2 linked regions of the Drosophila melanogaster genome follow. The protein of the gene in region 1 interacts with the protein of each later gene in a pairwise test. Each region holds a gene or a part of one and is shown in the gene's direction. Other genes may lie near its edges. The genes, in order: cona and CG6688.

Region 1 (3,681 bases):
GACATTATTCAGCTGGACCCTTTGATCATGGCCAGTCAGTACATACTGCCAAATCTCGCTACTGCTCAAACTACTGGTACTCTTCACAGTAATCGTTGTTGGCTGCTCCTCCGTATTTACCACCATGAATGCCAATCCTCCGGATACGGCATTTGCACAATGGGTATACAACTTGTTGCTCGGAGCAAAGGCGTTCAGAGGTCGGGCTGGGAACACCCTTGATCCCATGACCTTCTTGAACAAAGCAGTTACATACAGACTGAAGTTTGGTCGCTCGAAGTCCACCAAGTTCATTCGCTTAAATATAACATCGAATCCACTAGCGGCGGCATCTCCCATAGTTTGGGCCCACCGCAAGGCATCCGTGGTCTCGTCGCCCACCAATCTCTGCGAGGATCGCTCCTCCGGCAAGGTCAGCCACAAGGGAACGCGCTGTTGCTGAAGGGTTCGCAGGGCAGGATCGCTGTCGTACAAGTAGCTTCCCAGGCTTGATTTGGGCAGCATGTTTGCGGGTCTACAGTTGGAACAAAATAATTATTAAAAGGTAAGATGCTACTTCTATAATGTTCATAAATACATTCACTTCCAATCTCACTACTTACTGCGTCCATCCAAATGCCGTATTCAGATCCTTGGACATATCTACGTATCTCTTGGTCTCATCAGCACTGCTTCCAGCTGAAATGTCCGCTCCCATTAGTCGCCAGTCGTCCACATACGGTTTGAAAGTATCCGTCATCAGTTTGAGAGTTCGAAGTTCCTGGACGTAGTCCTTGGCTCTGGAGGTGCCAAAGTCTGTGCCCAGCTGCCAGATGCAGTCGGTGATGCCAACCATATAGGAGGTGTTCAGGATCTTCAGCGTATGCATGGAGTCCCAATCATCGGGCGCATAAGGCACCGGGATGATCATGGTCCAGTTTACGGCCCTTCGAAAAATAAGGTCAGATAGATGATCAGAAAATGGGAGGAAAGCCATCACCACCAACTTACCGCGACCACCGATTGAACCCCTTCCAAATGATTTTGGTGGGGTTTCGCAGCCTAGTTGGCGCATTGCTGGCGAAGTAAAAATCTCCCACGAACTTGATGTGCGCATCTCCCAGCAGATTCGCCAAATTGGTCACCGCCTTGCGGTTCTTGCCATCCAGGGCATCGTACAGATCCTCCGGACGAACGGCAAAACTGACAAACTTTTCGTTCACATCGTTGTAAGGACGATTCACATGGAGCTGAACCAGTGTATCCGCAAAGCACACTACCGCCAGTCCCAAAAGAGCCAAACACAAATGCCACATGTTTTAATCCAGAATTACGAATGGAAAGACCGGAGACCTGTCTGTTGCTCGATGGCTCCACAACTGACCGGAGTTTCATAATGACTACCTCTAAATAAACTCCCCACTCGATCATTTCCATCTGATTTCGCTGCCATCCGCAAGAATTTTGCGCTGATCGCTGCCCTCAATATGATGACCTTCTTCCAATGCACCACTAACGTAACCCAAACCCACATACAAGTGGGCCGTGGTTGGAATGCCGTGCTTATCAATGAACTATGAGATGACCCAATAAGGTTGGGGTAAATCTGCGGAGGCCAGTTCTTCGGCATCCTCGCTGGCGGTCACGGTTTGTTAGAAGAAAAGAGAAGAGAAACCGTCTCATTTTTTTAAATTAAGAAGGTTTCTCACACAAAGTTTAATGTTACGAACCATTTTGCAAAACAAATCACGTCAAAGCTTTCAGTTATACTCACAAAGTAAAAGGAGGGTATATTAGATTCGCTGAAAAGTGTGAAACATGTAGAAGAATATATTTTTATTATATATATTTATATTTTTGATCAGAGTCACAAGTCCAGAGTCAGAGTCGATCGTCCACAGTTTCTGTGATATACATAAATATATGAACATGAATGTGAATATAATGTATGCCAATTTCAGATATGGAAACTATTAAAGTTATGAAGTATTTGTGTTCTTTGACTAGAACGTAAATATTTCCAATTGGTGTAAATTTAAATAGCGCGCTCATCAACAGATCTATCACCAATAAGTGTGTAGAAAGTTGCTATCGTCATCGACCTATCTGCTGTTTTCCAACACTAAGTTGACCGCCATTTTGTACGTCAAAACAGAAATTTCGCCAAAACTTGAATAGAACGTTGCGACAATTATTATTACAGTTAAACAAATTGTTATCCAAAACTACATGAGCAATGGGTAGTAACCAAGATTGGAACAAGGAAGACTCCAAAACTGAGGTCCCACCTGAGGAAGATGACCAAGTGACAGCATACATTGAGAAATCAGTGGCCCAATTGGTAAGTTAAGAAAGGAAACATTTTTAGTTAAAATTTATATACATTTTGATATTATTGTAGGGCTCCGAAAATGATCACCGTACCGCGCTGGTCGATGAAAAGAAGAAGGAGTTGGATGTCCTGATTGCCGAGAAGTACACCACTTTGAACGACTTAACCCATGTCACCAATTCCCAGAATCTTGTGGACGACATCCACTTTCTGCATACGAAGAACGCCAAGATCCTGGAGAGCCTCAATCAGGCGGTCACCGCCAAGAGAAACGTCTCCCAGGCCTACGATGACCATTGCAAGAAGGCGCTCAAGGTCAAGGCCGAGATGCAGGAGCAGACGAAATGCTTCGATGAGTTCACCGTGATGGTATGTAATCTCCTCAAGAAACCAGTAATCTTGCAGGTTTGTAAAATTCTATCCAAATATTTTCTATTTCAGAACTACCACGATCTAAAGAAGACCATACTTAACACCAAGAAAGAAACGCAAGAAATTCGCGCTAAGACGGCTTTAAAGACCGAGGAGCTCAAAAAGAAGCGAGAATTTGTTAACACCACCCAAAAGTCAATGGCTAATGATATCCGTGTTCTAGGCCAGATCGAACATGACCTCATGTGAGTAACTATTAGGAGTTATAAAAAAACCGTACAAGAACATGTATCCCAAATGTTTGTTTTTTCCACAGTGGGATAATCGAAGACTTAAAATCCAAAATTTCTGCAATTTAAGTACAGGAAAACAAATAACACTTGAACAATCGCCAAAGGTGCATTGGAAAATACGGTCGTACCTCATCTTCCAAAAAATAATCCTTAATATTGCTGCGTTTTCCAAATAATTTGACAAATAAAGTACTTTTTATTCTGTAATGCTTTTTTAATTAAACCTTCTTCAAGGAGCGAATCACGATGGCTATCCTGATGGTTCTAATCATCTTCGACGACGATCAAAATATCCTTAAAGCTGAATGGCGTGAACGGATATCCGTTTCCCACATAGAACTTGCTCATGAACTCCACCCAGTGCAAGCGCAATGTGTGCAGGAAGGCGGAAAGACCCTCCATCATGACCATGATAGCGATGGTGAAAAACTCCCAAACGGCAAAGATGAAAAACAGCCCAATGGCGCCCACGTAGCCGTTCATCTGAAGTCCCATCGCCAGCACCATAGTCCACAGCACCTCCGATAGCTCTGAAATAAGATCTGCATGAAGTACAAATTCAATTACTGACTTAGCAGATTCTTACGGGCATGAGCTAAGGACAAGGCCCAGAGACGAAGATATGAGGCCGTGTGTGAGATGGTACTAAGGATATACTCGATTGTGTGGATGGCCTGGTGGATCCAGATTTCGCTCATCGGCTCG
Region 2 (5,398 bases), 4.6 Mb from region 1:
TGGCTTTCCGAGAAACATGAATTTCGATGTTATTGCCTGGGTAAGTATTCTCTAATTTTGACACTGCTGACGGCTTTTGGCTGCCGAACGCTTCTGCGTGCCACATAAATTTGGCCAAATCTAATTGAACTGGCAAATTGAAAAGCCAAAAACAAATTACACACACACACACCACGCACCACAATGCCGCCCAGGGTCAGTTTTGCTGGGCGCAAATTTAAATGAAATTACCAATTTCAATGCTATTTGGCCAATGTTTTAGACGACCAGAGCAGCGCCAAACTCAAATTACCGCCTCAATGGCAGTTAAACCGGCGATAACAAAACAACAAAAAAGCGAAAGTCAAATGGATGTCGATGGTTTGGCCATGCCAAACCAAATCCATTTGTCAGCTGCCAATTTCCATCAGTTATCATTGTTAGGGTTAATCGACGAGCCGGTTTTAGACCCAATTATTTATTTAGGGCCCCATTGTTTATGTTTATCGCCGTTTGACACCCTAGTGCGGTGCCAACACACTCGTCGTTGTTGTTTTAATTTCTTTTGGCATTTCGAATAATAATATTTTGGTTTACTTGCTGGCCACTCAATCGCAAATGCACTGGCCATTTGACACTGCCAACACGCAATTAAGCCGAAAAATAGTGCTGTTTATTTTCAAATTTAATTACAAAGTCGGAAAACTTTTAAAGTCAACAAATGGGAATTAAACTGATTAAGTTTCGTGTGCATTACTGCTAATAGCGATTTTATCTGATTACGATTTGTGCCAAAACCGTAACCAAACTGTATAAATATACAATTTAACACTTAATTTGCAGGTCTTGTTCAGTTTATTTTGGCTATTTATATTTGTTTGGGCTGTTTTGCTATATTTACCTTAATAGTTTTAATCTCTAGTAACAAAACATGGTATAAGTGATAAGCGCAGCTTTATTGTTTTCAATTTAAGAGAAATAGCAGAAGGTTTCCATGAAAAGCGAAGAGAAATAGCCGAAGGTTTCTATGAAAACTATTGTATTTGGCCATGTTCTCGATTTCACTTCCGCACAATTGTAGCAGCCTGCACATTCGAACCAACTAATTTACCAGGTTATCAAATGACTTAATCGCTGAAGAATTTGTTTATTTATTCGGTATATTTGAAGGTGTCACAATACGTAGACATGCAACTTTATAGCGCACCCAAAAACCGCTGCCAGCCCGAAAGTTCAAATATTTACTTAGCTCCACAAGTCTCATTTCCATGATCTCAGCTGGGTGTCAGCTTTGGATCTCGGAACTCAGATCTCAGATCTCCGATCTCGAATTCCGAATCTCGGATCTTGAACCGCAGCCACATTTTGGCGCCGAGCACTTACAACACCGCGTCAGATGGCCCAAAGTCATTAAGTTGTGGAAGGGGTTAAATGTGTGATGCTGGGGAGCTTGGCCAAAATGTTTGTCGTAGCCGATTGCGTCGGCCCAAAGCGCTCCATGTTCACTGCTCGCCGCTCGGCAACTTTTCAGCCAGCCAGCCAGCCAGCCAGCCACATACACCAGCCAGCCAGCTGGCTCGAAAAAAAATCAACAGACAGACGAAAAACAGTTTGCCAACTGAGAGCGCACGTTGAACACGTCTCTCGCTAGCCGCTTTTTATTTTGGCCCACAACGATCCGAGCACCTGTGCGAGTTTTCTAGCCCGAAAATGAGGAAATCAGCGGGAGGATTTCATTCCACATCCAATGAAGATGGGCAGCATGGCGATGGCTCCTCCGTGCGACTACTGAGAATTCCCAGAGCCGCACCTGCGATGGAGAACTACGGATTTCAGCTGACCCGCAGCAAATGGGATCCCTATCCCTGGGTAATAAAAGTGGCCATCGTTTGGAGATCCCGTCCCCTCCTAATTACCATATACCCATTACACCGACAGGTTTGCGAAGTGGCAGCCGGCACACCTGCCGCTCTCTGCGGCCTGAAACCCGGCGATTGCGTTCTGGAGGTGAGTAGAAGTTAGTGCCACAGGTTGGTGCCACCGTTGTCAGTTCTTTCAGCTCTCAGCCAGCAATGGACTGGCGGATTATGCACAGCGCAGACCAACTGCATTGGTAACTAAACTGCATTGGTAACTCAATCTGCGCCTGAACTCCAGTTACAAAATTAAGAATGCAATAGATCGACGCGGGGATTTACTTTGTAAACCTATTAAGAGCTTATTGAGACTGCTACTCAGGTTCCCAACTATGTGCATTCCACTTAGGATAGAAGAAAACAGAGTTTGAGGAACCCATTAAAATTATAATATATTTATAATCAGAAAAAAGTTCCTTTTGTTAGCTAACAGCTAGAAAAATAATGTAGTTTTTGTTGTAAAGCTAATTATGTATACTTGCGAGTTTTCAAGTCAATAAGTTCTACAAATTTGTGTGAATCGTAAGTTAAGATAAAAAGTACTATTCAGGAAAGCATTCCAATATGATGATTTGCACTTCTAGAAACAAATTCAAATCGCTATGGTCTTTTAAATTACGAATAGCTTGAGCTATGGAAGTTGGACCGTACATATATCCAAGTCTGGACTTTGCAGCCGCTATTGTAGCCGCATTTGTTGTTCTTCGTGGATATTGTTTACTTAAAATAGCAATGCAGTAAAACTTAATTGCTCGGCATCGACTTTATTTAGAAACTTTATTGGATGTGGAGTGGGGAACTAGAAACAGCTGGTGAATGCACAGCCCGCCCTAAAACTAATGACACAACTCGAACGTAGTAAAACAACTAGTTGATGACAAAGATTAATTAGCACGAAGTAAATATTCAAAGCAAATATCAGTTATCAGATAACAGATAACAGCCAATTGAGTTAACAGTGCTAGCTAAGGTTAACATCCGCAAGCAGTGCGTGCGATACAGCCGCAAGCAGTGCTTTCGAATTTGTAATTGTGTTGGCCATATTTTGTGGTATTCATTTGTTTTCTTTGGTAGCTCGTGGAAATCCAAATATTTAGATACTTGGTACTTGCTTTCTGTATGGCACTTATTTCCTAAAATAAATAAACAACATTTCCAGACATTTTCTATAAAATTCTATAATATTTTATTTCCAGGTAAATGGCAACGATGTTTTAGGCTTGAGAGTGTCTGAAATCGCCAAAATGGTGAAGAGTCAAAAGGACTGCGTCACAATTCTCTGTTGGAACAGTGAATGTGATAAGGACTGTGATACTAATGTGAGTATTTTCATTGCAGTCCTGAAATCCTTCTTTAAACCATCAAACACACTCAGTTATCCGTTCCCCATTAAAATCGCGCTAACACAATATTTTTTTCAAAAATCCATAGAGCATCTGCTGCGCCCCCATGCCCACCAGTTTGCGCCGCCTGTCCCTCGTCCTGGAGAGCATCCTGCGCCTCGTCGAGTGTCCTGTCTGCGGGGTGACCATCTCACCGCCGGCGATGCAGTGCCAAAACGGACACCTGCTCTGCGTGGACTGTCGCATCCGCTCGGAGCGATGTCCTGTCTGCCGGGACTTCTACACTCCCCGCCGAGCGCTGTTGGCGGAGCAAATTTTCCTGACCATTGCCAACGCCTTCGAGATGTGCCGCTCGGAGAACAAGCTGCGGCAGAAGCTCTTTGCCGGGATAACACGGCCAGTCGTGGGCCGACAGGACAGGATAACCGGACAGGACACCTGGCGAAAGCGCAGGCCAGTGCTGCCAACGAACAAGTTCCTAACCAAGTTGCTTGAGGGCTGCGCCTACTCGACGGATAACCTCAGTCCCTCGAATGCCGCTACTCTGCTGCGGACTAATACCACGGACGTCGCTGGCGACTCCAGTGAAATCCCGGCCAGAACATCGCCAGTGACAGCCACGCCCCCCGAAAGGACAACAATGCATGCCACGCTTGACGCGAATGCGGCGCATCCTTCACTCTCGACGAATGATTTACAGCAGGAAGGAGTTAAGCCGAATGCCGAGGGCGTTGACGAGGAATCCGGAACGAACAGCAGCCACATCTCTGCCACATCCTTGCATGGCCCTCCGCTACCAGCCTCCGTTAGCCCGGGCATCAATGAATCTTCCGGATTGCAACCCGTTCGCATACCTCCTGTCACTCCAAGCCAAGATTTGCCCCAGCAGGTTGTCCAAACTAAGCCGGCCTCGCTGTTGTACCGCTGTCCCTGCAAGCTGCAGGATCCACAGGATCCTGCAAAGGACCTCCACCAGAACTGCTGCTACAAATCCGCTTTCCGTCTGCTTTGAGCTCGGGCATCTCAATCAACAGCATCCTCTTATCAGGCGCGTCCCCAATTCGCCCCCCGCCCCTCTTGCTGTTTTCCTTTCTAATTAAATTAAATGCCAGTTGCTTGGCCAAAGTTGCTTATCGCGCAAAGAAACGAACCCGGCCAAAGGAATTGTATGGGTGTCAGGCCGGGACAAAGGCCCACGCTGGAGATGCAAAGAAGTTGGTCCAGCTAACTGCAGCGAAGAGTTCAACTTGGCCAAGTTGAGTTCTAATTGAATCACTCCTGAACGCTCCAATGACTTTGTGTCATTTGGCGTCCGAGTTGGTCAGCTCGATAATGAAGTCCGGATGGACTGCATTCAGGGAGCGTCGCAAGAGGAATAAAAATATTTTAAGTCAATTGGACTTTGTGCAAATGATCAATAGAATATGCAACATTATTTGAGTACTTGTTCATTCTAAAATCCTTTTCCCACTGCATACTCAAGGGCACAAAGTACAAACATTTCTCGCAGTGCAGTGCAACTTATGACTGCTGACGGCGACGCCACGCGCAGATGCAGGTCAATCAGTGGCAAAGTGAAGGATGCCGGACAAGCGCGTAATGAGCTTTATTTGTCATCGGGAGCAGGCATGGAACCTGTCCAGTCCCTGGTTTCTTGGTCCTGGTGGTTCCTGATGGCCCCATAATGACAGCCGCAGTTGGACAGCCATTATGCCGGCCGTTTACCATTTAATATTGATGCCGGACGAACCGCATCAATGGAGGAGCGAGCAACGCCAGCAACAGGCTTCAGTTACTCCAAACCGCATTCTTCCTATCGCTGCAGAATGGCCTCCCGCTGCTTCTTCGCCGGAGCGAGGCTGCCATGAAAATGTCATCAAAACAGGAAGTGGCAGTTTAATTTAAGCGCGTTAATTGAATTTTATTTTCTGCTTTGTTGATGTGCCGAACAAAAGCCAGGGCGCCGACCAAGTCCAAGCCGGAGACCATAGACGGTAGTCCAGATCCGCGTCCAGTCCAGCTAGTGCAATGCAGAAATTGATTTGCTGCTGCTCCTGCTGATGCTGCCACTTCTGATGGCGGTGCAGTATTGTGGGTGCGGATTAGTAGGAATGACCGGAATAAACGGCCGTATCCCGTGGTGTCGCCACCTGGCAGAGT

Evidence for each region.
Region 2: the proteins of cona (region 1) and CG6688 interact in a two-hybrid assay, tested with the Drosophila melanogaster proteins (one large-scale study listed by BioGRID).

What each region holds. Positions count from the first base shown.
Region 1 is NT_033777.3:18,383,707-18,387,387, forward strand, and holds cona (corona), read left to right. Parts: upstream 1-2,121; 5' UTR 2,122-2,215; coding exon 2,216-2,320; intron 2,321-2,380; coding exon 2,381-2,680; intron 2,681-2,752; coding exon 2,753-2,928; intron 2,929-2,999; coding exon 3,000-3,042; 3' UTR 3,043-3,181; downstream 3,182-3,681. Other genes in the region: CG14309 (uncharacterized protein), read right to left, coding at 1-514, 603-926, 991-1,295; Vha100-4 (vacuolar H[+] ATPase 100kD subunit 4), read right to left, coding at 3,241-3,506, 3,563-3,681.
Region 2 is NT_033777.3:23,010,825-23,016,222, forward strand, and holds CG6688 (uncharacterized protein), read left to right. Parts: upstream 1-1,587; 5' UTR 1,588-1,689; coding exon 1,690-1,848; intron 1,849-1,917; coding exon 1,918-1,986; intron 1,987-3,091; coding exon 3,092-3,214; intron 3,215-3,326; coding exon 3,327-4,250; 3' UTR 4,251-4,651; downstream 4,652-5,398.